Macaca fascicularis: one gene and its partner. Each later gene encodes a partner of the first gene's protein in a complex. Links are inferred from orthologs where the notes say so. Each region holds a gene or a part of one and is shown on either strand. Other genes may lie near its edges. The genes, in order: TIMP2 and MMP2.

The links.
Region 2: the proteins of TIMP2 (region 1) and MMP2 are in contact, whole or in part, in a crystal structure (PDB 1GXD), measured with the Homo sapiens proteins. The link is inferred for Macaca fascicularis from reciprocal best matches to the Homo sapiens genes TIMP2 and MMP2. Residues at the interface, in NP_003246.1 of Homo sapiens: Ile162, Pro163, Cys164, Tyr165, Ile166, Pro169, Leu173, Met175, Val178, Thr179, Phe191, Arg196, Asp198, Ser200, Cys201, Ala202, Trp203, Tyr204, Arg205, Ala208, Lys211, Gln212, Glu213, Phe214, Leu215, Asp216, Glu218; in NP_004521.1 of Homo sapiens: Trp574, Lys576, Asn577, Lys579, Tyr581, Phe588, Arg590, Lys595, Asp599, Phe602, Lys604, Ile606, Ala607, Asp608, Ala609, Trp610, Asn611, Ala612, Asp615, Tyr636, Leu638, Leu645, Lys646, Ser647, Val648, Lys649, Phe650, Gly651, Ser652.

What each region holds. Positions count from the first base shown.
Region 1 is NC_088390.1:85,321,684-85,337,408, forward strand, and holds the start of TIMP2 (metalloproteinase inhibitor 2), read right to left. Parts: upstream 9,156-15,725; 5' UTR 8,858-9,155; coding exon 8,728-8,857; intron 1-8,727. UniProt on the Homo sapiens protein: Complexes with metalloproteinases (such as collagenases) and irreversibly inactivates them by binding to their catalytic zinc cofactor. Known to act on MMP-1, MMP-2, MMP-3, MMP-7, MMP-8, MMP-9, MMP-10, MMP-13, MMP-14, MMP-15, MMP-16 and MMP-19.
Region 2 is NC_088394.1:51,464,869-51,480,611, forward strand, and holds the start of MMP2 (72 kDa type IV collagenase), read left to right. Parts: upstream 1-8,503; 5' UTR 8,504-8,782; coding exon 8,783-8,935; intron 8,936-12,200; coding exon 12,201-12,427; intron 12,428-13,308; coding exon 13,309-13,457; intron 13,458-14,591; coding exon 14,592-14,720; intron 14,721-14,896; coding exon 14,897-15,070; intron 15,071-15,743.

The DNA of each region.
Region 1 (15,725 bases):
CCTCCTCAGTGGCTCCATCCATCACCCGTAGAGCTCCAGCCCAGCTCCACAGCCTAGACCATCCTTCCCTAAGCCAACGTCAGTCTGAATCAGCACCATTCTGTTGACGCACCTCCTTTTAAAAGCCGTCTCTCTCTCTCTTTTTTTTGAGACAGGGTCTCACTCTGTCACCCAGGCAGGAGTGCAGTGGTGCGATGTCAGCTCACTGCAACCTCTGCTTCCCAGGTTCAAGCGATTCTTATGCCTCAGCCTCCTGAGTAGCTGGGATTACAGGCAGGCACCACCATGCCCAGCTATTTTTTTTATTTTTAGTAGAGATGGAGTTTCACCATGTTGGAAAGGCTGGTCTTGAACTCCCGACCTCAGGCGATCCACACGCCTCGGCCTCCCCAAGTGCTGGGATTCCAGGCGTGATTCCACCGTGCCCAGCCTAAAAGCCATCTCTTCTTCTACTCTATTTCCTAGCCAGCTGACCCTGAGCAGGTTCCTCAGTGGGCCTGTGCCTCAGTTGGATCGTCTGTCCAATGGGGATGAGGATAGGGAAGGAAATGGGCTAACACTAGTGAAGAGCAAGAACATACCTCCAAGCCCTCGGCACCTCTGCCAGCTGTTATTATTGCCACAGGCACCTCTGCCAGCTGTTATTGTTGCCACAGTCATTATCACCGTGTCATGATTCACCTCCCCGGCTGCTCCCAGGCCTCCCTCAGGGCTGGGTGGGGAGGAACAAGAACACAAAGACAGGGAGAGCCAGGGTTCGATGCAGAAAGAGCCGGTGTCCCCCACTAGCTCCAAGAGCTTCCTGGGAGGCAGGAAATTTGCCTCTCCTTTTTGGCAGTGTGGAAGCGGAGGCAGAGAGAGGCCACCTGTCCCAGATCGCTCTGCTGGACTCAGTCTGGGGCCAGCGTTTGACCCCTGCTCACCCTGTTTGCTATGAATGTCAGTTCCCGTCGCTACTGCTGGCTCCCTTCCCCCTCAATGCACCGTTTCCTGTTCCCTCCAAGGCCCCGTTACACAGTTTCTACTGTCTGCTGAAGTTCTAGCTCAATTCCCTCTCGCTTGGACTTTCTGGTCACCAGATTCCAGCAGAACTCAACAGAGACCTGCACTCACCTGAGCTCCAGACCAGGTTAGAGGGCAGCTGGCTCCCGGGCACTGGGTCAGGTACCAGAGGCATCTCCCTCTGTGCCCGCCCGCGACCCGTGGCCCTGCTCAGGGTCTGCCTTCCATCTCTTGGGTCCTCCCCAGTGCAGGTGCCAACTCTGCTCCCCTGGTGACTGTGAGCCTCTCAACACCACCTTCCTCCTCGGTGTCATCCCCCTCCTGTCCACCCCTCTCCCCAGTGCAGGGGCCATAAAGCCTTCCCCGGGGTCCCACTCCTGGGTCCCACTGCCTGGCCTCCAGGCTTTGCTGCTCCGCCTGGGCTCAAGCCCGGCCACACTTTGTTCTAATTACTCTGTCCCACTGTGGTACACTCTCTACCACAGCCACCCTGGGCTCCCCCCTGCCCACCCCAGGACCTTTCCTTAGCTCTGATAAGATCCACCCCTCAGGGCCCACAATCTCACCACTGTCTTCACCAGGATAAGAGTCTCTAGCACGAGGTGCAGCCTGCAGGATGATCTTCGCATTCCTGCGCTCATTTCCCTGAAGACAGGCACCATGGCTTTGGTGTTCCAGACCAGCCTGGCCAACAGGGTGAAACCCCATCTCTACTAAAAATACAAAAATTAGCCGGGCGTGGCGTGGCGGTGCGCACCTGTAATCCCAGCTACTGGGGAGGCTGAGGCAGGAGAATTGCTTGAACCCAGGAGGCGGAGGTTGCAGTGAGCCAAGATCACACCATTGCACTCCAGCCTGGGTGACAGAGCGACACTCCATCTCAAAAAAACTAAATTCCTTGAAACACTTGCCATAGTATTTTTGTGTGTGGTGGGCACCCAAATTCTACTGTAAAACAAAATATAAAAACCCTTAAGCGAATAAATTCCATAAGAAGCAGGTATTTAAGACATAGACACCAGGCCCTTCCTAACTGTTGAGGTCTGGAGTTCCTTCAGGCCATGTGTGCTCCAGCTCTGATCAGAGTTTCAGACGAAAAAGCAGCTGCCGTCTACCAAGGATGCCTTCCCCATGGAAGACAACCACAGAACCGCCCAGGTCTTTGGAGCCATCCCTGAGACCAGCTAGGAGGCCAAAGGACACTGTTGGCATCCTTTCCCCAGAGCTGGTTACAGATCTGCCTCAGACACCCCCCATGGTGGTAATGTCTGAGCGGGCCCTGGCTACCCAGGGCGGCCAAGTGCAGAATGAGGGTGCGAGAGCAGAGAAAGGCAAGATCGTTACCATTGCTCAGCTCTGAGACCAGGCAGATACTCATAGCAAACAGAAGACTTGAAACCTATAAGACCCTTTTAAATGGCAGTGACTTAACCTTTGGAGGGCCACATGCCCCTTTGAGAAGTTGGCGGCTGCCACTGTCCACAAAAAAACATGGATGCGTGCGCGCGCACGCACACACACAACTTCACTTACAGTTTCAGGGCTTGTGACCACCCCCAAGCCCACCAGGCCTATCTCCGGCTGGGTGTTCGTACGCTCTGAGTTAAGACCCCTCTTTTATAAAGACTGTTCCTCAACTTGCTTCTTAGAGCAAACACACTCTCAACCTGACTTGCGGGGGCTCCAGAAGCTTTCCCTGGGCTCCAGTGTGACCTGGCTGACGGGGGAGTAGCTCAGCCCTCAGTTGTAAGGTGGGGGTCATCGGGGCTGGGTCTCTGTGCCCTTCCCTCTGCTTCTGGACAGCCACGCCCCAACAAATGCACAAGGGCACTAGGGCGTCAGGGCACAGGCACTGGGGACTCCAGCCCACTCAGGTTGCAGGGGTCCAGGCAGGTGGGCCCTGGGAGGTCCTGAGGACACCAGCTTCATCCTGCCTGCCACTCTGAGACATCCATGCTCCTGACCATCTCCCCATTGGGAAGTCTGGGTCTGCCCCCCTTCCCTCCTCCCAGCAATCTCAGGGCAGCTCATCTGCTTGCTTACCCCGCCCCCCGACACTGAGGTGGTCAGAGTCTCCACACTTTCTGTTCAGACCCATGGGCAACAAAACAAAACCTTGGCCAAGCACTCACAATATCAGATACTCATTAAAAAATTATACATAGGCCGGGCACCATGGCTCACGCCTGTAATCCCAGCACTTTGGGAGGCCAAAGTGGGCAGATCACTTGAGCTCAGGAGTTTGAGACCAGCCTGGGCAACATGGCGAAACCCCATCTCTACAAAAAATTCAAAAAATTAGCTGGGCATGGTGGCTGCTTGGGAGACTGAGGTGGCGGGATCGCTTGGGCCCAGGAAGTTGAGGCTGCAGTGATCTGTGATTGTACCACTGGACTCTGGCCTGGGTGACAGAGCCAGACTCCGTCTCAAGAAAAAGTAAAAGACCATCGTAGCCATGCAACCACTTGCCCTCAGTCCCTGGTTTGTGAGCCTGTGCATGCACCGGGGGATAGAGGGAGCGTCCAGGGCACGCTCCCCTCCTGCCCCAGCCACTGCCACGTCTGCCTGTCTTGGCTTCCTTCTTATCTCCTCCTCCCTACTGTTGCATCCATCCTCACAGCTGCCTGAGAAGCCTTAGGCAGACCTCTTGGTTGTTTCGGAACACACGAGATTCAACCGTACATGCGACCCCCACTTCATCGAGTCAGTGGTTCTGCGTCAGGACCGAGGTGGCTGCCTGCGCCTCTCGGTCTCCCAGGAGTCATCTATGCCCTGTTCTCCATGTGCTCAGATGTCACCACAGGGTCTGAACCTCTCAGCCCACACCAGTGGCATCTACCTAGCAACCTGGCTGGGACAGCAGGGAGGAGGGAGGCAGGTACCCAAGCCCACCTGCAGCTCACAAACCACAGGCTGGGACTGCGGAAGTGGCTCCGCACCACCAGAAGCGTGCAAATGGCGGAGGCCCGAGACACTCCCAGGCTGGCTATGCGCGGCCTGGAGGTACGGCAGGTGCTCGAAGGAGCTCTCCCAACAACACACATTTCTCCCTATGTGGGATCTGAGGACATTGCCAGCCTGGGAGACATTTCTCCCTGTGTGGGATCTGAGGACATTGCCAGCCTGGGAGACATTTCTCCCTGTGTGGGATCTGAGGACATTGCCAGCCTGGGAGAAATGTGTGTTGTTGGGAGAGCTCCTTCGAGCACCTGCCGTACCTCCAGGCCGCGCACAGCTCTCCCTGCTCTTCCAGTCTCCCTGCCTTGGGAGCTGCCAGCAAATTCAGGGGCCAGTGACTCCCCTGGCAGATCCCGTCCCTCCAAGGACACTGTTCAAAACCAAGCCAAAGAGCCCCAGTTCTCCCCGCAGCTCCCTCCTCAACCTACCATGGGGCCTTCTATCACCTCTTGCGAATGCATTTCACATTGTTACATGATTACTTCTGAATTTTGGTTATTTCGAAAGTTTATCTGTTGTTAATTATTTACCCAAACCACATTGAGTGGACTGACTTTATACCACAGCCCGGCAGTTGAGGAGGGGAGGCCTGCTCACCACGCCCTGCAGCGGGAACCCCCTTCCACACTGCCTGGTGCCGAGATGTACAGTTCCACCCCCTGCGTCCCCCACGACAGGGTTAATGTCTTGCTTCTCCCTTACATACCCTGGGGCAGAGGCAGCCACTCCATAATTGCTTGTTGAAACACAGACAAGCCCGATACAAAAATCAAGATGAACGAAACTAACAATACAGATCAATCACATACTTTGCACAACAAGTCGCCAACAGTTTCTTTAAAAAGCGCCACCCCTGCCCCCTTACATGGAAGGCCTGACCCAGCTCACGTGAATCTGATGCTGTGTTGCTTTTCCTGAGCACGTGTCCTGAAGACAGAGCCATTTTTGACTGCGTGCTGTGTGTTTTCTGGGGTGGCCCCTACTCTCTGTCTGGTCCCTGTCTCTGTGTCCCACAGAAACCATGTCTCCCTTGGCCGTTCACCCCAGGAAACAACAGGTGTTCCCCTCTTGGCTGTGGACCCCTCTCTAGCTGGAGCTGGAGATCTTGGGGGGCTTTGCAGAGGGCAGTTTCTGGAGATGGGAACATGTGGGGCAGATGTCATCACAGAGGTCTTCTAGGATAATGTGGCTTTAGGTACCGCCATCCAAGCCAGAGAAGAGGTTTCATTCTCTGCATCCAGAGAGCTCCTGGCTTTACCCTTGAGTCCAGAAACCAGCCCAAGCAGCCTGAGTCTGCCAAGTAGCTCAGCTGGCTAAGTGGCTCCAGGCATGGTACTGCCTGAATGGTGAGCCCAAAGCTAATTTCCAGCCAGATCCCTGTAGCTGTGCAGGCTGGCAGTAGATGTGAAGGATTTCACTGGGTGAGAGGGAGCCGGGCCAGCAGCGCGTTTGAATAGTGCTGTAACTGAGACACAAAATGCTTCCTGTTTGTGCTGGTCTTGCTGGAAAGGACGAGGACCTGGGGCCTTCCAGGAAGAAACCAGGTCATCTCTTACCATCCCTTATCCTAAACATCGCCATCTCATAATGAATTATCTTTGCCAACCACAGTTCCAGTCCTACCAGCTGCAAGAGCTGCTAGGGAGATACCTCCCAGAAATCCTTAGCCGGGCAGACAGAAATCTGACTGTTTCTTAAGCCAGTTGCCTCTTGTAGACACCAAGCCATTTAACAAGCCTGCATGCAGCCAAGAGTAAAAGGAGCCAGCTCGCCACATAACAAGCCTGCCTTTATTAACCCCCACTGTACCCCCTTTCTGAGACCCCTGAGTCACAGCCCTGGTTAAATCACCTGTGGGCCTTTTAAACTGCAAAAGCTGAAGTCTGAGCCAGATGCTCTGTATCTGCAAAGGGATCCAGACCTGAGTAATCTTTAAGAATCTTCCAGGCATTCTGCTCTAAGCCAGAATGGGGAACCATCGCTGAGAAAGTCACAAACCTGCATCGCTTCAAGGAGAATCGAACACTGGAGAATAGACAGACCACTGTCTTCCCTGTGGGATTTGTTCCGGGGCCCTACCCTGGGATGTCCTGGGTTGTTTATCCCAAGTTGGTTGAGCACGGAAAGGGTGACTGGGAATAAGAGACGGCAGCCTGGATGTACTGGGTTGAATTGTGTCCCCCTCAAATGCACATCTACTCAGATCCTGTGAATATGACCTTATTTGGAAATAGGGTATTTGTTGATATATCAAGATGAAGTCATACTGGATTAGGGTGGGCCCTAAATCCAATGGCTGCTGTCCTTATAAGAAGATGGAAATTTGGCCGGGCGCGGCAGCTCACGCCTGTAATCCCAGCACTTTGGGAGGCTGAGGCAGGTGGATCACCTGAGGCCAGGAGTTCGAGACCAGCCTGGCCAACATGGCGAATCCCTGTCTCTACTAAAAATACAAAAAATTAGCCGGGTGTGGTGGCAGATGCCTGTAATCCCAGCTACTCGGGAGGCTGAGGCAGGAGAATTGCCTGAACTCAGGAGGCGGAGGCTGCCATGAGCCGAGATCTTGCTACTGCACTCCAGCCTGGCTGTCTCAAAAAAAAAAAAAAAAAAAAAAAAAAAAAAAAAAAAGAAAGAAAAAAGGAACAGGGAAATTTGGACACAGAGACACCCAAGAGAGAAGCCCATGTGAAGACAGAGGCCGAAATGGAAGTGATGTGTCTACAAACCAAGGAACATCAAGGAGAGAGGCCTGAAAGAGATTCTCCCTCTCAGCCTCGGAAGGAACCAGCTCTGCGGACGCCTTTTCGGACTTCTGGCCCCCTGAGCTACAGAGAATCCATTCCTGTTCTTTTAAGAATCCCGGTTTGTGGTCGTCTGTCACAGCGGCCACAGGAAGCGAATGCCCTGAGCTCTGCAGTGCACCTCTGGCATCTGACTGGGCCTCTGAGCTGGGATGGGGTGAAAAGTTTTAGCTAAAGGATGATGTTGATGCAAAGATTTAGACACAAATGCCAGGCAACCCAGGAAAAGGAGAGTGTTGTGCCAAGCATGAAGGAGGCAGGAGGCACGAACTGCAGCCCTCCGCCCTCTGCCATCCTGGATCCACACCCCACGCAGAAACAGCTCCCAGCTTAGTGGCCGCCTTAACTTATGCCAAGCAAGGACAGAGTGGCTGCCTGGACATTCTCCCACACAGCTGAGGAGTGTGTGTGTGGGTGCGGGGGGAGCGGGGAGGAGGGTCCCAAGGCCCAACTCCTACGAATCCACCTCCCAAGTCCTTCTTGCCGCAGCCTCCTTCTGGGCCTTGGCTACATCCTGCCCCACCACGTGCTGGTCAGCCCAAGAGCCTGGACAGGCCTGCATTCCCCATGGACCCCCAGAGAAAGGCCCATTATGGCTCCCTCATCAAAGGAGCCTCTCCTTCACCCCCAAATCTTGCTGAGCACCAAGGCTAAACTGGAGAAAAGACCTCATTTCCCCCAAACTGGGTTTTGTGGAAACTGTGACACAGGCACACGCCACGCCTTCCACCCATGTGGCCTGAGCCACCTGAGACCTGCGATCCCAATAGATTGGCGCAACTGAAAACTTCCCCGGCTGGGGAGGCAGCTCCCAGGGCTAACTGGGGTGGGGCAAGAAGCCGTGGGTGGGTATGGGAAGGGCGTGGCTGACAGCAGGAGAAACAGAAACTCCCACCTCCAGTCTGGGCAGGTGAGGGGCCCCCGCCTTGCTCCATCTGCCCTGGACAGGCCACTCGACTGAGACTCAGACATAAGGAGGAAGGAGGGCAGGGGGCTCTGAGACCACTTGCTGTGTAGCCAGACTTGTCCCAGGAAAACCATGCTGACCAGCACCAGTGCTGCAGAGGCTTGAGGTGTAGGACCAGGGTGGAAACTTCGGGCCAGCGGGTTCCTCCCATTTCTGCTGGTCCTCCATGGATCAGAACAAATAACTGGGCCCCTCCTCCCTCCCTCCATGGCGCCTGTCTTTTGGGGGCTAGGAGTCCTGAGGTCATGGGTATTTGCTGGGGAATCTCAGCCACACAGTCCCACGTGCCGGGTCCAGTCATCAAAGTCTCCAGCTTTTGTGGACGTCCCGAAAAAGCGGAACATTCGGGGGTCCCGGTCCCTGCCCAGCCAGTTTGCAGGGCCTCCTGGGCAGGGCACGAAAAAGGAGCCAGGCCAGGGGACGCCACTGGCTTTTCTCACCTGTCCCTCTGGGCCTGTGGAACCTGCCTCGGGTAGGGCGGGCTTCCATCTCATCCTGGCTTGATCGGGGAGCCCCCAAATGGGGCTGGTGGGAGAAGCCCCGCAGAGAAGCCCTTCCCCACCCAGCCCCAAGCCCAAAGAAGCCCAACTCCCACCTTATCTGCGAAAGTTTCTTCCTGGGGTCCCCAGTCCTCCAGCCCCCCGCCCCCACGCCGTGTCCCCCACGCTCCCTGCCCCCAGCGCTGGCATCCCAGGGTGCGCCGCCTGCCAAAAGCCAAACTGGCTCCCTTTCCTGGGGCTGGAGCTGCGGCGGAATTTCGGTGGAATTTTGAGGTTGAGACGCATCTCGGCAAAGAGAGGGAAAGAAAGGGAGAGGAGGGAGGGGTGAAAGAAAGTCGGCTCTGGGCGTCCACTTGCAAGATTCGAGAAGACGCCGAGGGACCAGGAGGCGGGCGCTGTGGTCCCTCGGCCAGCGGCGGGCGGGCGGGGCGTCCGCGAACCCACGGGGGTCGTGGGGGAGGTGGGGCCCCGCGCGGGGGCGGGGGTCGCCGCTCCTTACCTACATCTGCATTGCAAAACGCCTGTTGCGGGTGCACCGGGGAGCAGCTGCAGGCGTCGGCCGGGCGAAGCAGCGTCGCCAGCAGCAGGAGGCCGAGCGCCAGCCGCAGGGTGCGGGCCGCGGCGCCCATGGCGGGCCGGGGAGCTGGGCGAGCGGGGGCCGCCGCCGGGGGTCCGGGCGCTGCTCGCGGCGGCGGGCTGGGGGCGCGGGCGGGGGCTGAGCCGGGGCCGAGGCGGGCCCCTCCCGCGCGGCTCACCCTCCTCACCTGCCCCTCTCGGCCGCGCAAACTTTCTCTCCTCTTTGTCTCGGGGGCGCGAGGGGAGGGGCGCGGGGCGCAGTTCGCCGGGCGGGGCGGCGGGGTGGGGGGCGGCGGGCGAGCGGCGCTGCGGCTCCCGGCGGCCGCGCTGCCTTCTACGGATGTGTTTGCTGCGGGCTCGGGCCGTGCCGCCGTTTTATTGCGCTCGGAGGATTTTCTGCTCCTCCTCCCGGTGGCTGGCGGCCAATGCAGGCTCCGGGCGCTCCCAGCAGCCCCCTCCTCCCCCTCCGCCCGCGCCTCCCCCCAGCCCGCGCTTTTGTTGTGCCCGGCCTGGCACGTCGGGGGCTTCCCGCACCACCTGGCGCCCGCGGCCCACACCCGTGCGGGGGTCCCCGGACGCCCCCAGCCCCCCGACCCCTGTCCCCGCTGGGTGGCCTTCAGCGCCCGGGGGCCCTGACTCAGCGCGTGGGACTCGCGCCCCGTCCCTCCAGGGCACCGGGCCACCCACCCGCCACCCTTTCCCCTCCAGCTCGACTCTGGAGTGCTACGCTGCTCCGTCCCCCGCCACCCCGGGGTCCCTTCGAGCTCAGCCTCGAGGCGAGCCAAGGGGTGTCCTTTGGAGCAGGGGCCGTTCCCTATCGCCGCCTCCCCGTTCCTGTGGGCGGGTGGCCAACTGAGAAACAGACAGGATCCCTTTTTCAAATGGAGGCCTTAGAATTTCAAGTGCGCCTGGCCAGTTTAGTTGGGGGGTGGGGGTGTGGTTACTGTGAACAAAACAGGATTTTATATAAACTGGCCATATTTTTGACCAGCCAACAAGAGACGGGGGTGGGCCCAGGCGCCCAGGAGCCAGTAGGATCGCAGCAGAGGCATTGGCTGGGCTCCGCTCACAGTTTCCTCTCTTAGCCCACAAATGTGGGAGCCGAAGGACTTTTCCCAAAACAGTTTTGTGTTCCAGGAAAGACCCAGGCATATGAAGGGATGAACATGTGTAGGGTGGTGAGGCGGGCCTCCTGGCTGTGAACCTGCCTGCGCCCGGCTGCGGGCACCCACCCTGCACATCCGGTGTGTGCCCCGAGGGGCTCCGTGGACACTGCTGCACTGAGATCAGCATTCCAGGGTGTTTACAGTCCAGCTAGGGAGATGGAAGCCTAGGAAAATGACACAAGAAGAATCAGGGCGGGCACGGTGGCTTGCGCCTGTAATCCCTGCACTTTGGGAGGCCCAGACCGGAGGATCACTTGAGGCCAGGAGTTTGAGACCAGCCTGGCCAACATTTAGTAGAGACAGTGAAACCCCGTCTCTACTAAAAATACAAAAATTAGCCTGGTGTGGTGGTGCACGCCTGTAGTCCCAGCTACTCAGGAGGTTGAGGCAGGAGAATCGCTTGAACCCAAGAGGCGGAGGTTGCAGTGAGCAGAGATGGCGCCACTGCACTCCAGCCTGGGCGACAGAGCAAGACTCCGTTTTAAAAAAAAGAGAAGAATTGTCCGCTAAACTGTGCAGTGCTGACTTGAGGTATGAAATTTTGGAAAATAGTGAAAGAATGGAAAAACAGCTTCTTTCTGTTTGTGTATGCTTTGTAACAGCTCTGAGAAAAGTTAAATAAGCAGAGCCGTTATTTTTAGCACCCTGACAAATCCAAAGTCACTTTTTCAGTTTTTGTTAGCGTGAAATAGAGTTGTGTCGTTCACAAAATGATGTTTGAAGCTAACGTTTAAAAGTACAGTTAATTCAGAAAATTGTTATGTGCTGGCTGCCTGCAACCATTTCATTGTTTTCTTTCCTTCTTTTTGGTTACAAGGAGAACAAAATGCGGTTGAGCTTGTGTTTCAATTTGTCAGTTCATGATAGAAACAGGTAGCTTAGGGGCTCTCGGTCTTTTAGACAAGCTCTACACATAAATGATCAGGTACATGTTAGGGTGATAAATACTTAGAGCAGCCGTGGTGCCTACAACCAAGGGGGCGGGGCCAATATGGATGTACCTGGGAGGAAAGGCGGGCCTGGGCTCCAGGGTCAGGGGGCATGAGACTGGAACTTCCAACCCAAGGCCTCGCACCTGCGTCCTGGACTGCCCTCCCCGAAGACATCCGCACCAGCACACAAACAGGCTGGAATTGCTCCCAGGAAAAGTTAAGCAGAAATCTTGCCAGGTGCAGTGGCTCACGCCTGTAATCCCAACACTTTGGGAAACTAAGGTGGGAGGATCGCTTGAGGCCAGGAATTTGAGACCAGCCTGAGGAATATAGTGAGACCCTTCTCTACAAAAAAAAAAAAAAAAAAAAAAATTAGCTGGGCGTGATGGCGCACACTTGTAGTCCCAGCTACAGGGAAGCTGTGGTGGGAGGATCGCTTGAGCCTAGGGAAGTCAAGTCTGCGGTGAGCAGAGATCGCACCACTGCACTCCAGCCTTGGTGACAGAGTGAGACCCTGTCTAAAAACGAAACAAAAATCTTCTCTCCCCCTCAATTCCCCCACCAGAGAGTACCCTACTTTTCTGCTGCCTCTACCATTATCTCCTCCAAACAGGTCTCTAAACCAGAAGTTTCCAGCTTTCTTTTCCTCCCTTTTCTCTTGGTTCTCTCTCTCTCTCTCTCTCTCCCTCCTTCCTCCGTCCATCAACAAATACTCATTTGAGCATCTGCTGTAGCCTGGACACCGTCCTAAGAGTGAGATTCAGTGTCTAGAGAACAGAGGAACATCCCTGGAACAGCAGGTGGAAGCACGCAAGGCTCCAAGGTTGGAAGGTGCTGGACCTGGTGGAGCCCGTGGTGTGGCAGAGGAGTGAGAGGAAGGAGGGCTGAGGCAGGAGGCCAGGAGCAGGGGCTGGGAGGGGACACAGCGGAAGGCAGCCACATTACCGGGAGGATGTGCATTTTGTTCTGAGTGAGGTGGGATCCTTTGGAGGGTTCTGAGCAGAGGGGCAGGATCGGACGCATCCTCTGGAAGGATGGGACTGTGGTGAGGGGCCCAGGTGAGGGCAGGGAGCCCAGTGAAAGGGCAGGTGCTGCAGATGCAGAGACTCCAGAGCCACAAAATGGTGAGCACAGAACCCCTTTCTGGTTCAGTGCCGTGAATGGCTGACCTGGGGCTGTAGAGTCAGATGCAGAGAGGACTGAGGTCTGAGGGGCCAAATGACTCTCCCAAGGGCACAGCAGGGAAGTGAGAGGGCAGTCCCAGAAGCCAGGCCTCCCTCACAGCCCACAACTCCCAGCTTGCTGACCCAGCCATCTCCCTGCTGCTTGGGGCCCTCAGGGTCTTGGCTCCTGAGCCAGCTTCTGTCCCATTGACCACGCTCCACCTTCTTTTCCAGTTAGGGTCCTCCCACCTCAAAACCAAGGAAACTGAGGCCTCACACTAGGAACCTAATGAAGACAGGGAGTAGACTGGAATCTGGCTCATGGCAGCACAAACCCACTTTTTCTTTCTTTTTTCTCTTTTTTTTTTTTTTTTTTTTTTTAGAGACAGGGTCTTGCTCTGTCACCCAACCTGGAGTGCAGTGGCTCAATCTCAGCTCACTGCAACCTCTGCCTCCCAGGCTCAAGTGATCCTCCCACCTCAGCCTCCTTCGTAGTGGGGACCACAGGTGTGCCCCACCACACCTGGCAATTTTTATTTTTTATTTTTTATTTTTTTAGACAAAGTCTCGCTCTGTTGCCCAGGCTGGAGTGCAGTGGCACGATCTCAGCTCACTGCAAGCTCCACCTCCCGGGTTCATGCCATTCTGCCTCTGCCTCCCGAGTAGCTGGGACTACAGGCGCCCGCCACCACATCTGGCTATTTTTTTTTTTTTTTGTATTTTTTAGTAGAGACGGGGTTTCACCGTGTTAGCCAGGATGGTCTCAATCTCCTGACCTCGTGATCCACCCGTCTCGGCCTCCCAAAGTGCTAGGATTACAGGCGTGAGCCACCGCACCCGGCCACACCTGGCTATTTTTTGTATTTTTTGTAGAGATGCAGCTTCTGCAAACCGCTCCTTCTCCTTGTCCTTCTCTGTGCTCTGTGGCCAGGAGGGCTCAACCTTGCAAGACAAACTTGAACACGGGGAAGGGCCGCCACCCACAGGGGAAGGGACATATGCCCCACGCCCAGGGCAAGAGAGGAAAGAGCAAAGCTGACCCCGGGTTGGGAGCTCCCTCCACTGTTTCACTGCCTTTTTTTTTTTTTTTTTTTTTTTTAAAGACAGATTTTTACTCTGTCTCCCACTGGAGTGCAGTGGCGCCATCTCGGCTCACTGCAATCTCTGCCTCCCAAGTTCAGGCAATTCTCGTGCCTCAGCCTCCCAAGCAGCAGGAATTACAGGCGCCCACCATCACACCCTGCTAATTTTTGTATTTTAAATAGAGAGAGGGTTTCACCATGTTGCCCAGGCTGGTCTGGAACTCCTGCGCTCAGGTGATCTGCCCGCCTCGGCCTCCCACAGTGCTGGGATTACAGGCATGAGCCACCACGCCCAGCCCATTGCTTCAGCCCCCTTCACTTCTCATCTTGATATTGGTGGGTGGACTACCGGGGGACCATAGGGGACATCCAGCCCAGCCACAGCCTGGGGGACCCTGGCTTGGACCAGTTTAAGAGCAGAGGCTCTCAGCCTCTCAGGACAGACAGGAGCATGAGGGAGCCCTGTGAAGTGTGGGGGTGATTTCAGGGCCCTCAGACCACACTCCAGGGGCCACCGCTTCCCACGAGGAACATCGCCTGGCTCCCCTACCCGCTTAAAGAGACCTTCCCGGCAGAGAGCACAGCAGAGCTGTCAGGCATGTGTGCACCCGTGCCCAAACACACCCGGCAAACACGTCCCAGGCTGGACATGGTGAATGCTGTCTGGGGCCGGAGGAAGTGCCAAGGCCTACTCCCTGTTGCTTCCGTCTCAGGCCACCAGGCAGGATGCCCTCCCTGCGGTACCGGGCTGGCAGGAGGACACTGCTCTTCTCGGCGGCCTCGCCCTCCCAGGCTGGATGAGAGCCATCTTCCCCTGAGCAGGTCGCGTTCTCTTTCTGGAGACAGCTTGAGTGGACCCGAAGCGCCCCCACTCTTTCTAGGAGGTTCCCAGAGAGCCAGATGTTCTCATCCAGAGACAGCATGGACTTTGGCCCCACACAGCTGGGAAACTGACCCCCTGCTGACAGCTGAAACTCTGCCCTCAGGGGAGTGTCCGGGCAGTCTCAGGGGGCAGGGAGCTGGCAGCTGTAGGGAAAGATGGGGACCATGTCTGAGTCTGGCTGTCTGGGAGCTGACACATCAGTCAGGTGACACATGGCTCTCAGCGAGGAGCAGGCAGCTCATCTGTGCCTCCCTATCCAGCCGGACCTCAGACTCTTGGTCACAATGGGCACCCAGCCCAGGTTTCCGTCCCCAACGTCCACTGGTGGGGCTGTTCGCCACAGGACATCCTGAAGATGACAAGAAGGTGAGACAAGAGTGATGGCTGGGCATGGTGGCTCACGCTTGTAATCCTAACACTTCGGGAGGCCGAGGTGGGCAGATCACTTGAGGTCAGGAGTTTGAGACCAGGCTGGCCAACATGGTGACACCCCATCTTTACTAAAAATACAAAAATTAGCCGGAATTCACTTGAACCAGGGAGGCAGAGGTTGCAGTGAGCCAAGATCATGCCACTGCACCCCAGCCTGGGCAACAGAGCAAGACTCCATCTCAAAAAAAAAAAAAATAATAATAGAGTGACTGGGACCCACCGTGCTTGAGAAAAGATCCACAGGCAGCATGAGCTGCTCATCTGTTCTGTGGCGAACGTGCTGAAGGGCATTTCGACATGGATTTCATTCGTATTATTCTTCATTAGGGGCCGGGCTTCTCAGCCTTGGCACAGTTGACATTTGGGCCAGATCCCTCTTTGTGGGGGGCTGTCCTGGGCACTGTAGAGTGTTCAGCACCATCCCTGGCCTAGACCCACTAGATGCCAGCACCTCTCCAATTGTGACCATCAAAAATGTCTTAAGATATTGCAAAATGGCCCTGGTTGGAAACCACTAACTGATAAAAGTCTTCGGTCCTGAGCAAAGCAAGGTGCAGAGACATAGGAACAAAAAGGTTCTATTTCATAGAGAACAATAATGCAGATAGGAGAGTGAAGGTCCCCACAGCCTGGAGACCAAGGCACGCACCACGCTGCTGACACCGATTGTCAGGGGAGTGAGGCCAGGCACAGAATTGATTTTTTTTTCTTTTTTGAGACGGAGTCTCGTTCTGTCACCCATGCTGGAGTACAGTGGCACGATCTCAGCTCACTGCAACCTCTACCTCCCAGGTTCAAGCGATTCTCCTGCCTCGCCTTCCAAGTAGCTGGGATTAGAGGCACCTGTCACCACGCCCAGCTAATTTTTGTGGTTTTAGTGGAGATGGGGTTTTACTATGCTGGTTGGGCTGGTCTCGAACTCCTACCTCAAGTGATCTGCCCACCTCAGCCTCCCTAAGTGCTGGGATTACAGGCATGAGCCACCGTACCTGGCCGAAAAAGATTTCTTTTAAGTGTCCATGGTATGGACAAAGTGTCTTGTGCCTGTAATCTCAGAACTTTGGGAGGCTGAGGCAGGAGGATCACCTGATGCCAGGAGTTTGAGACCAGCCTGAGAAACACAGTGAGACCCATCTTGACAAAGAATTAAAGAAATTAGGTGGCCGAGACCAGGTGCAGTGGCTCATGCCTGTAATCTCAGCACTTTGGGAAGCCAAGGCAGGTGAATCACTTGAGGCCAGGAGTTCCAGAGCAGCCTGGCCA
Region 2 (15,743 bases), on another chromosome or scaffold:
GGGCTGGCTGCTTCATTCATGGCCTCTGCTGTGTGCAATTTTCCCTTCTTTTGGGTTCCAGGAGCTGCTCCCTCTGGTCAGCCCTCTGGGCCTGGTGCTTCTGGCTCAGGACCCTGCGTGCCACCCCTTGGCTTCCCTTATACCCTACCCCTGTGCTTTGGAATTAATCCGTCGTCGTCAGCAGTAAGCTCTCCTCGAATTATCCTTATCCGGGAGGGCCATCTGCTCCCTCCTGGGATCCCGATTGCTGCAAAGAGGTCATGGCAGGGTGTGGAGGGTTCTGCAGGCCATGGCAAGGAGTTGTGGTTTTATTTTAAGAGTGAGTCAAAGTTGGCAAAGGGTTTTAAGAACAGTAGCCAGGACTTCTAAGCCTCTGGAGCTTGGAATCCATGAGCCTGGAGTTGAGGCGACCAGCAGAGAACCTAAATGTTCTGGGAGGCCGTGGCCCTGGGGAAAGCCCTGCCTCTGCTCCTTAAGGGTTGTATGTCCTGGCGCCCTTTTGGGCCCATGAATGCTTCTCAGATGTACCTGGGACCTGCAGCAGGACAGAGGGCAGGGACCTCGGGCAGAGGGTCTCTCTAGCCTTCATGCTCTTTCTGGCCTTTCCTTCTACCCTGGGGGTGACCCCACCAGCCCCAACTCTGATTACTGGGCCTGCCCTTCTATCTGCCCATATGTAGGGGAGAATCATTCATTTCTTCAACCATTTATTTGTTCAACAGATATTTATTGAGCACCTACTATGTGCAAAACCCTGTTCTAAGTACTGGAAACACAACTGACATTCTAGTTCAGAAATCAATAAAGAAGTCAGAAATTAAAATAACAAGATTGTTTCAAGACAGCAGTAGCTGCCAGAAATGAAATAACACAGAGGTGACTCATTTTAGGGGATGATCAGCCAAGCAAGGCTTCGCTGAGGAGGCAGCACTGGAGCTGAGACCGTAAAGATAAGAAGCTTTGCAGTTTCTTATCATTAAGATGGGAGGTTTCTCGGCTAAGATGTTTCTCAGCTAAAGTCTTTCACTATTTCAGTCAAGACTTTCAGGTTGCAAGTGACAGCAACTCAACCCAGGCAGCTTTAAGCAAAAACAAAACAAAACTCAAGGGTTGACAGGAGGAGATTTATTGGCTCACAAACTAGAAAATGAAGGATACATCTGGCTACAGGCAGGGCTGGGTCCAGGGTTTCCACTGATTTTTTGGCTCTGTTCCCATTGGAGAAACTTCAACCTCGGGAAGCCTCTAACCTTAAAGGTAGTTCCAACCTTAGGTCAGACCAACTTCATTTATAGCTGAAAGTGTAGATGCATCCCAAATATAGGCATAACTCCTAGATGCTGCAAGTTCAATTCCAGGCAGCCACCATGAAGCAAATATTGCAATAAAGCAAGTCACACACGATTTTTGGTTTCTCAATACACATAAAAGTTATGGGCAGGGCATAGTGGCTCATACTTGTAATCCCAGCAATTTGGAAAGCTGAGGGGGCAGCATTGCTTAAGCCCAGGAATTTGAGACCAGCCTGGGCAACATAGTGAGACCCTGTCTCCACAAAAAAATTAGCTGGGCATGGTAGTGCATACCTGTGATCCCAGCTACTCGGGAGGCGGATGTGGGAGTATCACTTGAGCCCAGGAGGTAGAAGCTGCAGTGAGCCATGATTGTATCACTGCACTCCAGCCTGGGTGACAGAGTATAAGACCCTGTTTCAAAAAAAACCAGTTATGTTTACATTATGTTATAGTCTATTAAGTGTGTCATAGCATTATGTTTAAAAAACAATGTACGTACTCTAATTTAAAAACACTCGATTGCTAAAAAAAAAAAAAAAAAAAATGCGAACAATCATCTGAGCCTTCAGTGAGTCATCGTCTTTTTGCTGACGAAGAGTGTTGCCTCATTGATGATGGCTGCTGACTGATCAGGGTGGTGCTTGCTGAAGGCTCGGGTGGCTGTGGCAATTGCCTAAAATAAGACAATAATACAGTTTGCTGCATCGATTGACCCTTCTTTTCACAGAAGATTTCTCTGTAGCATGAAATGCTGTTTGATAGCATTTTATCTACACTAAAACTTCCTTCAAAATTTGAGTAAATCCTCCCAAACCCTGCCACCACTCCTTTATCAACTAAGTTTATGGAATATTCTAAATATTTTGTTGTCATTTCAACAATGTTCACAGCATCTTCACCAAGAGTAGATTTCTGTCTCTAGAAACCATTTTCTTTGCTCATCCATAAGCAGCTCCTTATCTGTTCTAGTTTGATCATGAGATTACAGCAATTCAGTCACATCTTTAGGCTCTACTTCTAATTCTAATTCTCTTGTTATTTCTATCACATCTGCAATTACTTCCTCCACTGAAGTCTTGAGCCTCTCAAAGTCATCCATGAGAGTTGAAATTGACTTCTTCCAAACTCCTGGTATGTTGATATTTTGACCTCCTCCCATGAAATCATGAATGTTTTTATGGGCATCTGAAACGGTGAATCCTTTTCAGAAGATTTTCAATTTACTTTGCCCAGATCCATCAGAGGAATCATTATGTATGACAGCTATAGCCTTATGAAATACATTTCTTAAATAATAAGACCTGAAAATCAAAATTACTCCTTGATCCATGGGCTGCAGAATGGATGTTGTGTTAGCAGGCATGAAAACATTAATCTCATACATCTCAATCAGAGCTCTTGGGTGGCCAGGTGCCTTCTCAATAAGCAATGGTAGTTTGAAAGAAATGTTCTTAAGGGCCCAAGATTTTTGAATTAGCAGGCAAGCATTGGCTTCAACTTAAAGCCTCTAGCTGCATTAACCCCCAACAAGAGAGTCAGTCTGTCCTTTGAAGCAGGCATTGACTGCTCATCTCTAGATATAAAAGTCCTAGACGGGATCTTCTTTCAATAGAAAGCTGTTTCATCTACAATGAAAATCTGTTGTTTAGTGTAGCCACCTTCATCAACAGTCTTAGCTAGACCGTCTGGATAACTTGTCACAGCTTCTCCATCAGCACTTACTGCTTACCTTGTACTTTTATCTTATGGAGACGGCTTCTTTTCTTAAACCTCATGAACCAACCTCTGCTAGCTTTAAACTTTTCTTCTGCAGCTTCCTCACCTCTCTCAGCCTTCACAGAATTGAAGAAAGTTGGAGCCTTGCTCTAGTCTAAGCTTTATCTTAAGGGAAGGTTACGGCTGCTTTGTTCTCCTATCCAGACCACTCAAACTTTGTCTGTATCAACAATAAGGCTGTTTCACTTTCTTTTAATTTGTGTGTTCACTGGGATAACACTTTGAATTTTCTTTAAGAGCTTTCCTTTGCATTCACAACTTGGCTACCTGGTGCAAGAGGACTAGTTTTCGGTCTCTCAGGGCTTTTGGCATGCCTTTCTCACTAAGCTTAAACATTTCTAGCTTTTGATGTAAAGTGAGAAATGTGCAGCCCTTCCTTTCACCTGAACACTTAGAGGCCATCGTATGGTTATTAATTGACCTCATGTTGATATTGTTGATCGTAGGATATAGGGAAGCCCACAGAAAGGGAGAGAAATGAGGAATGGCCCGTCAGTTGGTAGAGCAGTCAAACACACACATTCACAAGGGTGATTAAGTTCACTCTGGTATATGGATTAAGTTCACCCTGGTATTCGCTTTCACTCGCGTCCGTGTGAAGAGACCACCAAACAGGCTTTCTGTGAGCAACAAGGCTGTTTATTTCACCTGGGTGCAGGCGGGCTGAGTCCAAAAAGAGAGTCAGTGAAGGGAGATAGGGGTGATGCCATTTTACAAGATTTGGGTAGGTAAAGGAAAATTAGTCAAAGGGGGTTGTTCTCTGGCTGGCAGGGGTGGGGGTCACACGGTGCTCAGCGGGGAAGCTTTTGAGCCAGGATGAGCCAGGAGAAGGAATTTCACAAGGTAATGTCATCATTTAAGGCAGTGACTGGCCATTCTCACTTCTTTTATAGTGGAATGTCATCAGTTAAGGCAGGAACCGGCCATTGGGATGTATATGTGCAGGTCACAGGGGATATGATGGTTCAGCTTGGGCTCAGAGGCCTGACATTTGTGGCACTTCAAAACAATTAAATAGTGACATCAGAGATCACTGATCACAGATCACTATAACAGATATAATAATAAGGAAACATTTGGAAATATGGCAAGAATTATCAAAATGTGACACGCAGACATGAGGTGAGCACATGCCATTGGGAAAATGACATCAATAGGCTTGCTTGACGCAGGGTAGCCACAAACCTTCAATTTGCAAAAATGCTATATCTGCACAGCACAATAGGGCAAAGTGTGAATCAAATGAGGTAACCTGTACCTCCAGCTAAACTCCCAGAATTAATTTTCCTTGGCTCCAACGGATTCACAAGCCAGTATCTGAATCATCACCTCGCCAAGATGTCTGGATCTGCTTTTTAGTCCAGCCTGGGTCACATCGCCACTGTAGAGCCAGGAGGTGGGTCATATCTGCTGAACTCAGACCTAGAGTTGGGGAGAAGTGGCTTCCCAATGGGAAACTAAGGGGCAGCTAACCAGAAGTAGGAGAACAGGGTCTTGGGAAGGCTTACATGGCAGATGGCCACTACCTCCCTCAATGCTCTGTCCCCTGCTTAGCATCCCGCATTGTCATTTCTGCGTCTTCATCAATAAAACACTATCTTAATGCCACTGTACCCCAGCACCGAAAACAGTGTTCATCAAAAACGTCCGGAATAAATGACAGAATTCATGTCAAATCACGATGTCTTCTAATCACAGCCCACGTAGTTTTCTGGGGCTGCTGTAAGAAAACACTACAGACTGGGTGGCTTACAACAGAAATTTATCCTCTCCGAGTTCTGGAGACTAGAAGTCCAAACTCAACATGCCAGCAGGGCCATGATCCCTCTGAAGCCTCTGGAGAAGAATTCCTTCTTGTCTCTTCTGGCTTCTGGGTTGCAGGCAATTCCTTGTCTTGCAGGCATTCCTTGTCTTGCAGGCATTCCTTGTCTTGCAGCTACATTGCTCCAATTTCCGCCTCCATGGTCACATGGAGTTCTTCTCGCTGTGTGTCTCTGTGTCCAAATTTTTGTCTTCTTATCATGATAACAGGCATTGGATTAGAGCCCACTCATCTTAACTTGATTGTAACTGCAAAGACCCTATTTCCATGTGAGGGCACAGTCACAGGCATTAGAACTTGAACATATCTTTTTGGGGAATACAATTCTATCCACTAAACAGCATTTTTGCCTCTACATTAAGATTGACTAAAAGATGCTGCAGTAACAAACATATCCCAAAAGCTCCGTGGTTCATTGTATAAGAGTTTGTTTTTCACTTACAAAGTCTGTAGTGGGTCTAGTTGCTTTCACTTTATGACTTTGCCAGATCAACACGGGGCTCCCAGGGTTACCATGGCAGGGGAAGAGAGATTTACAGGAGTGCACAGGGGCCCTGGAGCATATTGCATGTGCTCACCAACAAGCCCATTATCATCAGATACTGCCTGTTCTCTGCTTGTCGCCTGGGCCATTCTAGGCCCCAAGTGAGGGTTCTTGGATGTCACACAAGAAGGAATTTGAGGCAGTCCATAAAGTGAAAGCAAGTTTATTAAGAAAGTAAGGGAATGAAAGAATGGCTATTTCATCAGCAGATCAGCCCCAAGAGCTGCTGGTTGCCCATTTTCATGGTTATTTCTTGATTATATGCTAAACAAGGGGTAAATTATTCATGCTTCTCCCTTTTAGACCATATAGGATTACTTCCTGATGTTGCCATGGCACATGTAAACTGTCGTGGGGCTGGTGGGAGTGTAGCAGTAAGGCTGACCAGAGGTTTTTCTCATCATCATCTTGGTTTTGGTGGGTCTTGGCCAGCTTCTTTACTGCAACCTGTTTTATCAGCAAGGTCTTTATGACCTGTACCTTATACCAGCCTCCTATCTCATTTCATGATTAGGAATGCCTTAACTTGCTGGGAATGCAGGCCAGCAGGTCTTAGCCTTATTTTACCTAACCCCTATTCAAGATGGAGTTGCTCTGGTTCCAATGCCTCTGACATAGTCACTGCTGGGCACAGAAGCCTCTCTCTCACTGAATGCTGCTTCTGCAGCCATTGCCATCTCTGAATGGGCACCAAGCCCGTACACTGGAAACCGATGCCCTTGGAATGCCATAACCACAGAGGCTGTGAAGAGGTACAGTCAAAGCTGCCCTCTGCCAGAGGAGCCCCAAAGCTATGTTATGTAGACCCCAAAGATTTTCCGAAAAGGTTAAAACTCAAACTGAGCAAGTGTAAATGAGCTACACCTAGTGAAGGAAGTCACATACAAGGCAATACGACAGAGAGTGGTGAGGACTGTGGCAAACCAGCTAAAGGGAGCAGTCACTACTCAGCTTCAGCAAATTACTGCCATATGGAAACTGGCATCCAGTATTGCCAGATTTTTGGGAAATTTTTTTAAAAAAAGAAAACCAGAAAGTCAGATTTTTACATGAAGTGTCCCAAATTTCAAAATGCTGTTCAGGCTGGATTCAGCCCACAGGCCACGAGTTTGCAGCCCCTGCTTTAGTGAGACAACTTTTTCCATTTTCACTCTCAGCTCTCAGCTCTCCAACTTGGCTCTCTGGCTATTCACAGGACGTGGACACGAGCCCAGTGGGGCTGGGCCAGCAGGCAATCCCCCTTCCCAACTGACCTCAGTCTTGCCCTCTCCAAAACAGCCAAGGTCTCTCACTGGGTCAGGCTGAAGGGCCTGGTTCCCTCCTGCCGGGCAAGGTCCCTCCCAAGAGGCTCCTTTAAAACTGACTCTGGCAAGTCAGCAGCACACACCCCCCTTCAGACAAGCCTGAACTTGTCCGAAGCCCACTGAGACCCAAGCCGCAGAGACTTTTCCAGCTGTGATGATCAAGACTCATAATCGTGACCTCCAAAGCCCTCCACAAGCATATTGCTCCTGATTCTTTCAGCCCCTGACCTTGCTTCTCAAACTATTCCCTGCTGAACCCCAGTCCTATCTGCCCCCTTCCTAGGCTGGTCCTTACTGACCCCTCCAGCTCCATCCCCTCACCCTGTGCCCCACCTTTTTCAGATGGAAAAAACTTCCTTCTCCAGTGCCTCTTGCTGTTTTTCATCTCTGGGCCTTTGCCAATGTTCCCTAGATTGTGCCTAAAACTTTTCCCATATTCCCCACCCAGCACTCCACATCTTTAGCTCTTCAGGTCTCAACTCAGAAGTCACTTCTTCCAGGAAGCCTTCCTTGATTGTCTTTGCTAGTTTAAGGGCTGAAGTCAGGTGTTCCCAATAGCCTGCGAGAGTTTCCCATCGCAGCTTATCTCTCAACTGTCTTTCCTGACAGAGGTAGAGGACATTCCTCAGAGAATGTTGTCACGGGGAGAACCTCAAAATTGGCATTCAACCTGAGAGGCCACATGGATTCTTGGCTTGGCTCAGGAAAGGATTCAAGAGTAAGTGGGGAGTTCCTGGAACTGAGGGCTCCTCCCCTTTTTAGACCATATAGGGTAAACCTCCCCACATTGCCATGGCATTTATAAATTGCCTTGGCACTGGTGGGTGCTTCCTTTAACATGCTAATGCATTATAATTAGCATAAAATGAGCAGTGAGGATGACCAGAGGTCCCTTTCTTTGCCATCTTGGTTTTGGCTGGCTTCTTCACTGCATACTGTTTCATCAGTGGGGTCTTTGTGACCTCTATCTTATTAAACCAGTCTTGACCAATTTCTATCTCATCCTGTGACTGAGAATGCGGACCCTCCTGGGAGTGCAGCCCAGCAAGTCTCAGCCTCATTTTACCCAGCCCCCTGTTCAAGATGGAGTCGCTCTGGTTCAAACGTCTCTAACGCGGGGCCCGTGACTACTCTGTTTCCCAAGGTGTATCTAGCATCTCGCACTACGCGAGGCCAAGTTAAGGCTTACACATTTGCAGAAGGAAAGAGGTAGCGAAGCAACCTGGGACGTTCCACTGTTTCTGTTTCCATCTCTCTATCTCTTTCCATCTCTGTTCATCTCATTCCTCTCTGTCCCCATTTCTAAATATCGAAAATTTCTGTCTCTGACCATCTATCAATGTGGCTGATCATCTGTTTCTGACCATTCCTTCCCGTTCCTGACCCCAGGGAGTGCAGGGAGTCCTGGCCCAGCCGGCGTTCCTCCAAGTAGTACCACTCTCTAACCTCAGGACGTCAAGGGCCTAGAGCGACAGCGCCAGATGTTTCCCAGCAAGGGGTTCTGAGGCTGTGCGCCCAGATCTCGAGAGAGGGAAGTGGGGTGACGAGGTCGTGCACTGAGGGTGGACGCGGAGGCCAGAAGTAGCAGGCGGCCGGGGAAAAGAGGTGGAGAAAGGGAAAAAGAGAGAAAAGCGGAGGAGGGCGAGTAGGGGGGTGGGGCAGAGAGGGGCGGGCCCGAATGCGCCCCCCACCCCTAGCCCGGCCCAGCCAGCTCCCTCCCAGCCCAGCCGGCTACATCTGGCGGCTGCCCTCCCTTGTTTCCGCTGCATCCAGACTTCCTCAGGCGGTGGCTGGAGGCTGCGCATCTGGGGCTTTAAACATACAAAGGGATTGCCAGGACCTGCGGCGGCGGCGGCGGCGGCAGCGGGGGCGCGGGGGCCGGACCATGAGCCGCTGAGCCGGGCAAAACCCAGGCCACCGAGCCAGCGGACCCTCGGAGCGCAGCCCTGAGCCGCAGAGCAGGCTCCAACCAGGCGGCGACGCGGCCACACGCACGGAGCCAGCGACCCCCGGGCGACGCACGGGGCCCGGGAGCGCAACGATGGAGGCGCTAATGGCCCGGGGCGCGCTCACGGGTCCCCTGAGGGCGCTCTGCCTCCTGGGCTGCCTGCTGAGCCATGCCGCCGCCGCGCCGTCGCCCATCATCAAGTTCCCCGGCGATGTTGCCCCCAAAACGGACAAAGAGTTGGCAGTGGTGAGTTGCTGCGCTGGCCTCAAGGAACCAAGTTTAGACAAACTTCGGAGGCAAAACATGGGGGTGTCTCTCCCCCTGCCCTCGGCGGTGGGCACACAGTGTGGGGGAGGGGCTTCGGTAAACAGCTTGGGGGGTCTTTGGTAAGCTATTGGAGTGATGTCTTGCAAACGGTGGGGGATCTTTTGTAAGCAGAGAAGACCTTTGATAAACAATTTGGCAACCTTCAGGATACAGCAGTGGGGCGAAAAACAAGCCAGAGAGCGGGAGAGGGGTGACCTGGCAAACTACTGGAAAGGGACTCTTATGTAAATGGCGGGGACCTCCTCTAGTATCTGGGACATTTGGCAAGGGGGGGCGGTCTTTGTAAACAATTTTTGGACACATCTGGGCAGTTGCTAAGGGCTCTCGCCAAGCGTCTTGGTAGGCCTTTGGCAGACAGCTAAAGGGGTCGTTTTTGCTAATGTAGGACTTTGGGAACGGGGCTCTGGCACACAATTTGGGTAAATTTATGCGCGCATAAGGATGGGAGGGAGCTTAGCCAACGCGGGGCTTGGCAAACTTCTAGGAACCTTCAGCACAGATCCGGAGAGGGGCCTTTAAATAAACAGCTCAAGGGGACCATTTGGGAAGTGATTGGGGCAGGAGGGAAGCAGAGAGCGCATCTTTTTTCACCTGGCTTAATGGACAAATTGGTCAAGGGCTGGGCCTCGGAAAGTTTCCTCGAACTTCTCCAAAGGGTCGGAGGAAAGAAGGAGAGAGCTTGCCCGGCAGGAGGGAGGAGGAGTGGGGCAGGCGCTGGAGGGCCTGGCGCGTGGGGCGGGGGCGGACTGCGCTCCGCTAGGGTCGGAGAGCGGCCAGCGAGTCCTCCTTCCTGGCTGGGTTCCCAAACTGCGGTTCAGATGTTGTCTTGTGAGCGTGCGCGCGCCTGGCTGGAGGGACACTGAGCCTGGCCGCAGTGTTGCGTAAGTAGGGCCTGAGGAGGGAGGCCAGCCAGGGACCCTTCAAGATGTCCTTTCCACTCCGGGGGATATCTGCTCCCTTGTTGCCTCAGCCACCCTGCCCTCCAGCCTCCCCCTCAACCTGTCCGGGAGAAGACGCCCATGACCTCTGGTCACCCTAGGAACTCCTTCAGGAGATGACACCTACCCTCTCCCAACTCTCACCCTTTCCAGGCAGCTAAGTCTCAGCCCCCTCTGGATAGATGGGTTGGGAAACCTCTGTACATTTTTAGAGGGCTACTTTTTTCAAGGGTCTGGAGCTGGCTAGCATAATGATGTGGCTGTTGGGTGGGGCTGAGAGTGGAGCTGTGGGACAATGACAAAGCTGCTTGGGTTCCTTACACTTTTTCCAGCCAATGGGTCACAGGATGAACCCCTAAATTGGGGCTCAGCCTGGGGGCCACATGGGTTCTTGGCGTGGAACAGGAAGGAATTCAAGAGCCAGCCAACAGAGTAAAGTGAAAACAAATTTATTAAGAAGCTAAAGGAATAAAAGGGTGATTATTCCATAGGCAGACCAGGGAATGGGCTGCTTGAGTGAGTATACACACGGTTATTTCTTGATTATATGCTAAACAAGGGGTGGATTGTTTAGGAGTTTTCCGGAAAAGGGATGGGGAGTTCCTGGAACTGAGGGTTCCTGTCCCTCTTAGACCATATAGGGTAACTTCTCCATGTTGCTATGGCATTTATGAACTGTCATGGCGCTGGTGGGAGTGTCTAATGTATTTAACATCCTAATACATTATAATTAGCATATAATGAGCAGTGAGCACGACCAGAGGTCACTTGCATTGCTGTCTTGGTTTGGGTGGGCTTTCTCCAGCTTCTTTACTGCATCCTGTTTTATCATAGGGGTCTTTGTGACCTGACCTGTATGTTGTGAAATCAGTCCTGCCAACCTCCTGTCTCATTCTGTGGCTAAGAATGCCTGCCCTCCTGGGAATGCAGCCCAGCAGGTCTCAGCCTCATCTTACCCAGCCCCTACTCAAGATGGAGGTGCCTGGTTTGAACACCACTGACAAACGGAAGTCTGTGTTGTCCCTAGGCAATGCAGTGGGGGGCTTAAGAAGATAGCTCTGGACTGAGACCGCTTGGCTTCAAATCAAAGGGTGCATGAACTAACTAGCTGGCCTAGTGATGATCTTGGGCAAGTGACTTCTCAGTTTCTTCATCTGCAAACTGGGAAATTCCATATCTCAGGGTTAAAAGAGAGGTAATCTTAGGTGCTTACCTAGCACATGGTAAGTACTCAATAAGCACTAGTCATTATTCCTATTATATTATTATTATGTCCTTGATTTCCCCTTTCTTAACTACTTCCAAGAAGGCTAGGACCATTGTCAGACGATCTCCTGGCTCTTTTCACCGTTCCAACAGGGCACTTATCACATACTTCATTTTGGTTTTATTTGTGATCTATCAGCCTCCCTGCTAGGATTGAACTTTAGAGACAGAGCTGTCTATCTTGTTCACCAATTTATCCTCAGCAGTAGCACTGGGCTTGGTACGTGGTAGGTGCTAAAAAGTATTTGTTGACTAAATAAATGAGTCTGTTGCTCCCTGAACCTCTTTGCAGGGACCTGCTCAGTTTTGGCCTGTTTGGGCAAGGCCAGTTGTATGGCTCCTGAAGGACAGCACTGCTTTATTTTTGCAAATGGCTGATTCAGGATTTGAACCCAGGTTTGTCTGCTGCCAGAGCCCATGCACATAGTCTTTGAATCTCTTTAGAAGAAAAAAGGAAGAAAAAAGTCCCCAAGTCACCAGCTGCAAGGTAGATAAAAGAGTTGATAGAGGTAAAAGAAGGATGCTGGAGTATCACGTTTCCTAGCACAGGCTCTGGAGCCAGATTGCTTTGTCCCAAATCCGGATCTACCATTTGTGAACTGTGTGATCGTAAGCAAGTTTCTTAACCTCTCTGTGCTTCAGTTTCCTCCTCTGTATAACAGGGATAGTATATCTACATTATAGAGTTTTGAGCATTAAATGAATTAACATATTCTGACTTTCGTGCCTGGGCATATAGTCAGCACCCAGCACCAACAAGCGGTAGCTATGCTCTCTATAGCTGTATGTCCTGTCGCTCAACTAAGGGGTGCCAGTGCTGATTTGGGAACCCAGTACTCCACCCAGTGCTCTGGGACCCCTGGCTTATATCTTGTCTGGACTATGGCACTGGGTTGGGGGCTGATTGCTACAGCCTGCTTTGGTTAATACTGTGCCATCTTAATGTGGCTGCTTGCCTTGGGGGTGTGCATTTCTTTCAGCAATACCTGAACACCTTCTATGGCTGCCCCAAGGAGAGTTGCAACCTGTTTGTGCTGAAGGACACACTAAAGAAGATGCAAAAGTTCTTTGGACTGCCCCAGACAGGCGATCTTGACCAGAATACCATCGAGACCATGCGGAAGCCGCGCTGCGGCAACCCAGATGTGGCCAACTACAACTTCTTCCCCCGCAAGCCCAAGTGGGACAAGAACCAGATCACATACAGGTGCTAGGGCAGGGCTTGGGGAGGCAGGGCCATTGGGCTGAGGGACACGAGCCTCCTTGACCCATGCATTCTCTCCACTCAGGGGATCCATGAAGTGTCTTTTGTGAAGGCTTGGCATCTTAGGGAGTTTCAATACACAGTTCTTAGAAAATGAAGTCAGACAGACTTGAATTTCATACTTGCTAGCCATCAGACATTGGGTTCCTTTTCAGTGCTGTGAATGTTGGCTTTCCAATCTACAAAATGTGGCTTTAAAAATGCCCTTCCCCACATGGTTGGTTGGGGAACTAACCTAGACTGAACTAATACAAATGACTTCTATGATTTTTGACACAGAGCAAGAGTGTAGTAATGCTAGCCATTGTTATTGTTTTTAGTTGAGGTCATTGGGATGGGCAGAAGGAACGTGATGATTGGTAGCTAATTGAGTTTAGCAGCCCAATTGGGTTATAAATTGTTGCTAATTGGGCTGAGAGCTGTGCTCTGTATGGCTGCTGCTGGGTTCCAATGGTGAGATCTTTGCCTTATGCCCCATAATGCACACTTATGGCCCTCCCCCACCAGCCAGAAGTGACAGATGGAACTCCTGAGCTGAGGCCTAAAAATGTTGGCTGGCCTGGGACTCCCTGGGTCTTCAAGGTATCCTGGGAAGTTTGTTCTTGGCAGTGAGCCCTGCCTAACCTACACACACATACATGCAGGCACATGCTCACATATACATGCACATACTTGTGCACCCTTCCCATGCTTGTGCATATACTTGTATGTTCACATACACACACACTCAAACTTTTTCACATATCTGTGCACACACACATACTTGCATATGCACACACTTATGCCCATGCATACACACTCACATGCATTTCTACCACCTCCAGGATCATTGGCTACACACCTGATCTGGACCCAGAGACGGTGGATGATGCCTTTGCTCGTGCCTTCCAAGTCTGGAGTGATGTGACCCCACTGCGGTTTTCTCGAATCCATGATGGAGAGGCAGACATCATGATCAACTTTGGCCGCTGGGGTAGGCAGAAGATGGGGCAGAAGAGGGGCCAGCAGGGAACAGCGTCGAGACGAAGGGGCGAGATGGACATTAGAGGGGTGTGGGGATCCTGAGGGCAGCTTAGATAGGACAGTAGATGGTGTGGACCCTGGGGGTGGTTTAGATGGGGGCAACACAACACGGAGTGGACACTGGAGAGCCACGTTGACATAGGGGCAGATGGTATGCTGTGGTGTAACCTGGAGGCCGTCTAAACCCGAAGCAAGTGGTCTACTATGCTGTCCAATATGGCAGCCATTGGGTAGAATATACATGGCTATTTAAATTTAAATTAGTTAAAAATTTAAAATCGATTTCCAGGTCACATTGGGCACATTTCAAGTGCTCAAAAGACACAGGAGGTTAGTGGCTATTGATTTTGGACAGCACAGACAAAGAATTTTCCTCTTATCACAGAAAGCTCTGTTGGATGATGCTGGTAGATACTGAGGAAGTGTAGATATATGAGAGTGGTTTGGAAACAATGGAGCAGTGTAGACATGAGAGGAAGGGTCATAGAACCCCGGGCCAGGTGGCCATGTGAGTTTATGGTGTGAACATTGCCAGTAGCACAGACATAAAGGTAGGTGGTATAGACACTGAGTGGTAAGTGATGAAGGTAAAGAGCATGGGAAACAGTGTAGACAAGTGGGTGGGTGGTACAGGCCTTGGTGACAAGGTGGGCATGAGGATTCGTGTTGCAGATATTGGTGATAGTGTGACATAAAGGCAGGATTGTGGTTAAGAGGGTGGTATTGACAAGAGGGTGGATGGCATAGACACTGGGGCTGATGAGGATGGGGTGAGGACACTAGTGTGGTAATGTGTGTATGTGGTAGGTATAGTGTCATCGTGGTAGTGTAGACAATGAAGGTAGCGGGTATGGATACTGGGAGTCATGTAAACCTGGGAGAGCAGTGTAGACCATAGGATGGTAACAACCAGGTCAGCAGATCTCTACCGAGCCCCAGTGTTTGCAGTCCTGGATAACCCCACTGGGATGACGGAAGGGGACAGGTGCTGGGTGGGCTGACAGGCTCCACATGTAGATGGGGTGGGAGGGGTTTCAGGGTCTAGGTGGCACAGCTGGAAGCTAAGACCCAATGTGTGTTTCAGAGCATGGTGACGGATACCCCTTTGATGGTAAGGACGGACTCCTGGCTCATGCCTTTGCCCCAGGCACTGGTGTTGGGGGAGACTCCCACTTTGACGATGATGAACTATGGACCTTGGGAGAAGGCCAAGGTGAGAAAGGGGCCCTCTGCATGCCCCAGACCTTCTCTCCTGTCCTCTCTCCACTCCATCTGCTTGGACCGGAGAGGTGGGAGGGGAGCAAAGTCACACATCTGGGTGAGTCAGAATCTTGGTCTCCAAAGAAGGCATGGAGAAGTCCAACCTCCCCCTTCCATGTCACCCTTTAGTGGTCCGTGTGAAGTATGGGAACGCCGATGGGGAGTACTGCAAGTTCCCCTTCTTGTTCAATGGCAAGGAGTACAACAGCTGTACTGACACTGGCCGCAGCGACGGCTTCCTCTGGTGCTCTACCACCTACAACTTTGAGAAGGATGGCAAGTACGGCTTCTGTCCCCACGAAGGTGAGCATCCACTCTAGTACTCAAGACTTTCCACCTCAAGCTTCCAGCTTCCCCGGCTCCCCACTGTGCTCCACCCTCCACACTCTCCAGGACTGGCTGGCACTGCCAGTCAATGAGCATCCCTCCAACATCCTTCACTCAGTTCCCCCCCAACCTGATCTGAGCCATTGTTGTTTCTCTCCCACCAGTACCATGATGAACATAATACTTTAATTAAATCAAGTCGATTTTTTTTTTTAAGTTTCACCATTAGCAATCATTTAGGAGTCACAGATTTGATGTGCTAATTATTTATTTCTTACATATATTGGAGTAAACTTAGAACTATTACAATGCCCAGTGGTTCTCTCTAGAACCAGTCTTTATACTTCAATCAAGATTGATACTTCAAGGGCATGAGGAAAGGCTTGCTGGTAGCTGGAAACCTAGCAGTGTGATAAGGAGGCAGGACTCAGACCAGGGCTGGACTCAACCTGGTTTGCGAACTCCAACCGAGGAATTTCACCTATTGCTCCAGCCTTGGTCCTGATGCTGCCTCTGCTAATGCGTGTGTGTGTGTGTGTGTGTGTGTATGTGTGTCTGGGCACAGGGGCTATACCATCTGCCTCTCTTGGGCACTGTCTTTTTCTGCCTCCTGTGTAGCTTGTGTCTGCATCTCTGTGTCTTGATAAAT